Solanum lycopersicum: one gene and its partner. The protein of the gene in region 1 interacts with the protein of each later gene in a pairwise test. Links are inferred from orthologs where the notes say so. Each region holds a gene or a part of one and is shown in the gene's direction. Other genes may lie near its edges. The genes, in order: protein ACCUMULATION AND REPLICATION OF CHLOROPLASTS 3, chloroplastic; plastid division protein CDP1, chloroplastic.

Region 1 (3,826 bases):
AGTTTTTTCTGGTGCACCCATGAAGTTACTATTTATATAGATGATCGGGTGGCTTTCGTAGGAAATCATTTATTTTTGAATGATTTTTTACTTGTTGGTAATACCTTTGTATACGTAAGTTAATGCTCTTTTGTTTATAATAACCTTACTTCATCTGGAAAAAAATAGTTATCCCACATGGGTTATGCAAGAGTTCTCAAAGAAGTTAATAAACATCTTGAGCAATTCCAGTCAATGCCTTAAGGTGGTGGGTTGGATGCTTAGATTCTTCCCCATGCCAAGAGATCCTTATGCAGCTTTAAAATTTCTTGATACCTTTTAAGATGAGTCATGAGCCAAGCTCTAAGATTGTCCAACTACTGTTCTTGTCTATCTTATTCTTTGCTGCCTCCTCCCCTTCTATCTGTTATGAACTTTAAGCTTTTCTCGTAACTTCTTTTGCAGATGTTTCTTCAAGAATTGTGGAAGTTCCATCAGCAATAAATTCATGTTCCAAAGCAGTTATACTTGTTTGTACATTCCTCAACTCTTATCCCTAAGATCTCCTTTTATTACCAGTGATTATTGAGTAAAGGTACTATCTAATGTGAATTTAATGAAAACACTCACTTGGATGGGTAACATAGGACGGTGTTCCTTTGTTTTCCGCTAAGGCAGACATGAGTAGTGGACAAGAGTCAGGGAATGCGTAGATGGTCATGAATAAGATCACGGACCAAGGATTTGCTCTGTTCTTGAACAAAATCATGTGTCTATATCTTCAGTTTTAGTATCTAGTACTTCCCGGCTTATTGTGAAAGTAACTTCAGCATCTATATAGAGGGTTTAAGTGTTGTTGTATTAGAATGGCATTAGAGCAAACACATGCATGATATGCAGGGGCTTCAATGATTTTCTACTGCTTAGACTTCATCATTAGGTTTATATGGATATCTAAGAAATCATATCTGAAATATGTCCAACATTGCAGCAGATGAGTAACAAAGTGGTGAAAGGAGAGAAACATTAGGAATCTTTCCTTGATTTCTTCCTTAAGGTTTGCAGAAGCTGCAGCATTAGAAACTGATGTTATAAATCTTAGAACATGTTTCAAAGAGTAAGCAATATGACTTATATGATTTACTGTACTTCCTCCTATCTCTCTAAGTTAACAAGTGCCGTTTTAAACCTACAAGAATTTTGGAACATGTGCTGTAGTCATAACCTGATCAATCCTCCAATTTGAGTTGCTGAGAGGTACCTTGATAAACCACTGAACCAAGCTCTGGCATAACTTAAGTCACAAGCTACACAACGCTACTATGACCAACAATGCTTGAACTATTAAGCTCTATATTGTTGCTTTTGAATGTCTCTAGCTACAATGCTACTTTATGTTCAGGGTCAAAACTTTCTTGTGAAGAAATGTGGATGATTTCTACCATAAGAGACCTCAAGTTTTTGTAGCTAAAGAGACAGAAATCTGTTTTGCCTCTGATTTACCTTTTGCTTTCAAATAGAGGCTGTCCTATAGAACAGTTTGATAGATAAGTCAGAATTGTATTTTTTCGAATTTTTGAGAGTATTTAATGAAACCATTAGCAAAATAAGAACGGAAGAAGTTGAATTGGCTTCACTTAGTAATGATGAAGTCAAATGAAATATTTGTCTAGAGTCTTACAACTTTTAATTGGGGGCAGTAACTTCTTTGAGAAACTATGCCTGTGCTAGTATGAAAGGAAATGAAATCTAGAAGATTTGTAAAGAAAACATTTTCTTTTTTCACCATCTCAATTTACGTTGCTTTAATTGTATATTCTTTTTAGCCAAAATTGTTGTTTTCCTTGTTGCTTCTTTAGGTGGCTAGTGCAGCTTATGGCACCGATCATGTCCCAGCACTTGATATTATAAGGAAATTAAAGTCCAGAAATGGACTAGCGGTCGGCATCATTCTGAAACCTTTCAGCTTTGAAGGACGAAGGCGCTATGATGAGGTATTATACTTTTGTTTTGGGAAATGATGCTGCTGAATAGATCTTTTTGTGGAAGGATATTAGGCGAAAAAATGCAAACAACAAAGTTGATTCATGATGGAAGCAATTTTATTTTTAAATCCTCATTGGTTGTAAAGAATACGAGCCATTGACAATGTTGTATGGACTAAGCAGTTTGTTGTTCTACTTTAAAGTAATGAAGATACTCGAGATACACATATTGTATATGTCATACCTGTCAAAACATTGATAACCTATTGAGATGGTGTTTTATTTAATGTGTTCATGCATAAACAACTTGAAGTCATAAACACGGTGTACTATATTGTAGGTCATATGCTATGGTGGTATAGGTAGGCAAGAACATCTAAGGATATAGCCGTAGTGCACCATGCGTATGTTATCTAATGGGGAAAACTGACCAATGCTTTCCCATTTTCGGATTAAAACAGATCAATATACAACAGACATGCCACCTTTATCAATAATAATTTTTTTTAAGATGATCAATAATAGTATTCCAGTTAGACCTACTGATTCACAAAAAAAAAGAAGAAAAGAAACATGGTAGACCTACAAATGGCTTTAGGTTCCGTTTTATTTCATTTTACTTCTATCTTTATCTTTGATGGAATGGAGGACATTTCTAGAAGTTCAAGAAAGTTGGGGTTTATTTATGTTGAAGTTACATTAGGCACTATTAAAGATGTTTGTGTTTGGAATTTGATTTTCCTTAGTTGAATTTCAGTTTTCGAATGCTTTTCACAATATTACCAGCCTTGTCTTTGACCAATATTCTTGATGGTTCATCCTACTTACAGGTCACAGATTTGATTGACAAACTTCAAAAGCATGCAACTGTTTGTATAGGTCAGTTGAACTTCACATATTACAGTATAAGCTTATCTGCAGCTCATACAAATTTGCCGATACTAATATCATAGGGGAGGTCCTTGCTTCTACACTGTTATTTTAGTGCACCCTCATCCATTAGAAGTTTTAACGAGCACATGTCTACTTTGTCATTACTTTAATTACGTGCTGTTAAAGCTTTGCATGACTACAAGTGTCATTGAGATCAATTAAATTGATTATTTGTGAAAATTAACAGTTTTGCCAGTAATGGTTCAGCTATTCTGGAATACCTTTAATTCGTGAATGCATAATATGACGTTTTTTTTGAAGATTGGGTGTTGTTTGTAGAGAATCATACCTTTTTTAGGTTTTACTGGGTATTCTTGTATGCGGGTGTTTTTATGCCCAAACTTCTAACAAAAAATTTTACTTTATAGAAAGAAGAGTCTGTTAGCAACTCTGCCATAGTTCCCAGATTGTGATGTTTTTTAATTTGGGTTTGCAGTTATTGACACTGATGGTCTTCTCAAGAAAGATCTTTTAACTCTGGATGAAGCTTTGAAGACTTCATATAATGCTGTTCTAATGGCTGTTAATGCCATTTCAATTCTTATGTCTGTAAGTTGTTTTTTTCTCCAATAAGTCTCTTGATTCTTTTTTCCTCTCTTTTCCTTTTCTTCTTTTTTCTGCTTTCTGGCTCTTGTTTTCTTAGTGCCTTGTACAACTTTTGATTAATGAATTTATCTAATATCTGTCTGTCTGTAAACTTGCAACAATAACAGGAGGACCACATAAAGCTTCTAGATGCGACAGATTGTGGTACAAAAGAACTGAGTGGTCCAGAGCTAATAAAAGTAAGAACTATAATCTTGTTTTACGTAGTAAGTTGAATTGCTGATAACATAGATTTTATTTGGAGTGTGTCATCTCTAGTAGTTCTTATCCTTGGAAATCGCGGTTATGTACAACTTAGTAAATTTTCTTTGCTCTAGAGGCAA
Region 2 (3,345 bases), on another chromosome or scaffold:
GCATGCAGGAAGCCTTCTAAAAAAAAGTTCTAAGTTTCGTGAAGGAAAAAATGAGGCCGTATACAATACAAAGTATAGGATAAACAATGCAAACAATATGGATATACTGTACCTATGGACTATTTATGTCAGTGAGAGGAGAGCATGGATCCTTTTTATAGTTATTTGCACCTTCTTGGATGCTACATTATAGATAAACAATCTCTTCTCTTTTTATTTACTTTTTATGTGCTTTTCCTTACTGGGCCAGTGCTTTCAAGTGGGAATATAATTGTTGTGTACTAAGTCTAGCAAAATTGATTTGATGTCCAAGAAAGTGGTACTAAAGCTAGAGGTAAGGGGAGGAAGGACATTTCTATTTCCAAGAAATGATCCTCAATTTTGTATTAACTTGCAGATCATCGGTGTCTCAGACCGAGCTGAGAAGGATGAAATTGTCAAGTCGGTAATGCATCTCAAGAATGCTGAGATTGAAGATGGATACACCATGGATGCTGTTGTTTCTCGCCAGGTGGTAGCTGCAGTCCTACATATTCATCTTTCTTATAGAGGTTATCCTGTATTCTCATGCTTGGCTACATGTTTTCAGAATCTTTTAATGGATGTGAGGGATAAGCTTTTGTTTGAGCCAGAATATGCCGGAAATATAAAAGAAAGGGTTCCACCAAGGTCTTCTCTTAGAATACCATGGGCTTGGTTATCTAGTGCTCTTTGTCTTCTTCAAGAGGTAAGATACAATACACTATTGAGCAAGCGGATTACTTTCATTGCAAGTTTGTGCGAAAATGATTATTTAAAATGTTAACATTATTCATTCAGGTCGGGGAAGAGAAGCTTGTGCTAAATATTGGACAGAAAGCTCTTCAACATCCAGATTCTAAGCCTTATGTTCATGATATTCTTTTGTCCATGGCACTTGCTGAGGTTAGGCAAAGAGAGAAAATATCATAACTCTATGCTGTCTTTTTCTTGGGATCTGTGTTATGCTTGGGTTTCTTATTCTAGGTGCTTTCTTGAAGTGTGCAATTGCAAAAGTTGGATTTGAGAAGAACAGAATTTCACAAGGATTTGAAGCTCTTGCTCGTGCTCAATGTCTTTTAAGGAGCAAAGTTTCTCTTGGGAAGATGACATTATTATCTCAGGTTAGCTTGTCTTAGTTCTGCTGTCTTATATCCAGATTTTGTGAAGGCGAAATTTGTATTTTTTCTTCATCTTATTTTTCATTTTACATGTAAGTGCCGTAGTTTAGATATTTAAGGGCTAAGGCTTTGCTATGTGAATGTGCATCAATTTTTTTGCATCCATCTCATCATCAGTAGATTTCTTTATCATTATAATAGCAATTGCAGTAGACTAAAAACCTAGCTTGAGTTAAATATAGAAGATTCTCTCTGTAAAAATGTGTAGCTATGATGTTATGTCTATAGTTGGAGACTTGGAAGTTTTGTTGGTGTTTTCAGTCTCTGCAACATTTAGTGCAAATACTTCTCTGATGTGCTGTTTCTTATTTCTCATTGGGATTATATTTTACCTTGCGCTTAGATAGAAGAATCGTTGGAAGAGCTCGCTCCTGCCTGCACCTTGGAGTTATTAGGCCTGCCTCGTACACCTGAAAATGCTGAGCGGAGGTTAGGAGCCATTGCAGCATTACGTGAATTGCTCAGACAGGGCCTTGACGTAGAAGCTTCCTGCCAAGTTCAGGATTGGCAATGCTTCTTAAATCAAGCTCTTAATAAGCTTATGGCTTCGGAGATTGTTGAACTCCTTCAGTGGGATAATTTGGCTGTCACAAGGAAGAACAAAAAGTCCATTGAGTCACAAAACCAAAGAGTTGTAATTGATTTCAACTGTTTCTACGTGGTTTTATTAGCTCATATTGCCCTAGGATTTTCCAGCAAGCAGATTGATCTGGTAATTACGACGTTGGTCTATTCTTTGTTCTTTGATTTTCACTTGCTGAAGTTGACCGCAATAAAGTGTTTTGACTCTATTAAGATATAAGGTTAAATTGCATCAACTCTCTGTGTGTAACGCAATTCCAATATCTTGCTAGATGTTTTACCTGAAAATGCCAGGATTCCGGATGCAGTAACATGTTGACAAAAAAATTCAATTGTTTATTGCAGATTAACAAATCCAAAATAATTTGTGAGTGTTTGATCGCTTCAGAAGGAGTTGATTTGAAATTTGAGGAAGCTTTCTTGTTGTTCCTTCTTGGGCAGGTGAATCTGTAATTTCCTCTTTCACTGGCTATGTATTTCCTTTCCCTTCAGTGTTTATTGAGAAAAGTAAATTTTGTTAATACAGGGTGATGAAGCTGCAGCTACTGAAAAGCTTCGGCAGCTTGAGCTGAACTCAGATACAGCTTCACGTAATTTAGCATCGGTCAAAGAAACGAAAGATGTTTCAACTGTATCAAAACCACTGGTATGTATTTACATGCTGTTAATCAGTCTCTGAAACTATGTGGTTCATATAGGCTGGTTTCCTGGTTTCTCCCTCTGCATTTATTTCATTTTATATTCTTTAGGGGTCATTACTTTTTTCTCTTTTAAAAATATAAATGCACTTCTCCGTGACCCTAACTCCTCAGCACCAATTTATAGTTGTTGACATGTTGCTCTTTTGCAGAGTCCACCTTTTTGTAAACAAAATTAGGATTTTCTGACCATAGATAATGATATAAGCAAAACTTGTTTCTATTTTTTTATCCAAGGGTGATGTTTCTATCTGGGATAAGTCTTTTGTTGAGTTGAAGTCAAATGTTTCTCATCATAACATCTTGTGGCTTTCCAGGAGACCTGGTTGAAGGATGCTGTGCTTGGCTTGTTCCCTGATACGAGGGATTGTTCTCCGTCATTAGTGAGTCATGTTATGAAATGTTTTGATTCAAAAAGTACCTCATTGTAGAGAGCTAAACTAACTCTAAAGATTTGCAACAGGTAAACTTCTTTCGCGGCGAGAAACGACCTTTCGTGAGCAAGGGAAATAAAAGAGGTCTGCAGACTGCATCTCAAATTAGTCATAGGCCACTTGCACCTGCTATTACACGGGACCAAAGAGCTACAGATGAACCACTTCCGTATGGTGATACTTCACGGCATCTCGGGTCAGCTGTAAAGCAGTTAGCTCCACCTAATTTACAAGCTCAATTGACCGTGGATAAGGTCAATGTGGGCAATGCTTCTGGGATGCCATCTGTTCAGTTGAAAAGAAATTTGGGTGCTGGACGTAAGGTTTGGGAAATTTGGTTGGGCCTGAATAGCATAGTTGAGAAGATAATTTTTGTTGTGTCAGTTGGATGCGTCATCTTTGTTTCCTTCAAGCTAATGAACATGCAGTTGT

The links.
Region 2: the proteins of protein ACCUMULATION AND REPLICATION OF CHLOROPLASTS 3, chloroplastic (region 1) and plastid division protein CDP1, chloroplastic interact in binary tests that used the Arabidopsis thaliana proteins (3 or more experiments, as listed by UniProt). The link is inferred for Solanum lycopersicum from reciprocal best matches to the Arabidopsis thaliana genes ARC3 and PARC6.

Annotation. Positions count from the first base shown.
Region 1 is NC_090800.1:2,349,086-2,352,911, reverse strand, and holds part of protein ACCUMULATION AND REPLICATION OF CHLOROPLASTS 3, chloroplastic, read left to right. Parts: intron 1-444; coding exon 445-509; intron 510-1,838; coding exon 1,839-1,973; intron 1,974-2,794; coding exon 2,795-2,843; intron 2,844-3,333; coding exon 3,334-3,446; intron 3,447-3,610; coding exon 3,611-3,682; intron 3,683-3,826. UniProt on the Arabidopsis thaliana protein: Together with MIND1 and MCD1, regulates FtsZ ring positioning in chloroplasts in an ARC6-dependent manner. Z-ring accessory protein involved in the initiation of plastid division and division site placement (might functionally replace bacterial MinC).
Region 2 is NC_090802.1:57,726,934-57,730,278, reverse strand, and holds part of plastid division protein CDP1, chloroplastic, read left to right. Parts: intron 1-397; coding exon 398-511; intron 512-589; coding exon 590-727; intron 728-819; coding exon 820-924; intron 925-1,019; coding exon 1,020-1,142; intron 1,143-1,542; coding exon 1,543-1,911; intron 1,912-2,126; coding exon 2,127-2,222; intron 2,223-2,307; coding exon 2,308-2,427; intron 2,428-2,796; coding exon 2,797-2,862; intron 2,863-2,942; coding exon 2,943-3,345. UniProt on the Arabidopsis thaliana protein: Component of the plastid division machinery required for PDV1 localization to constriction sites. Involved in chloroplast division site placement. Required for the proper formation of FtsZ rings at the division site in nongreen plastids (e.g. etioplasts).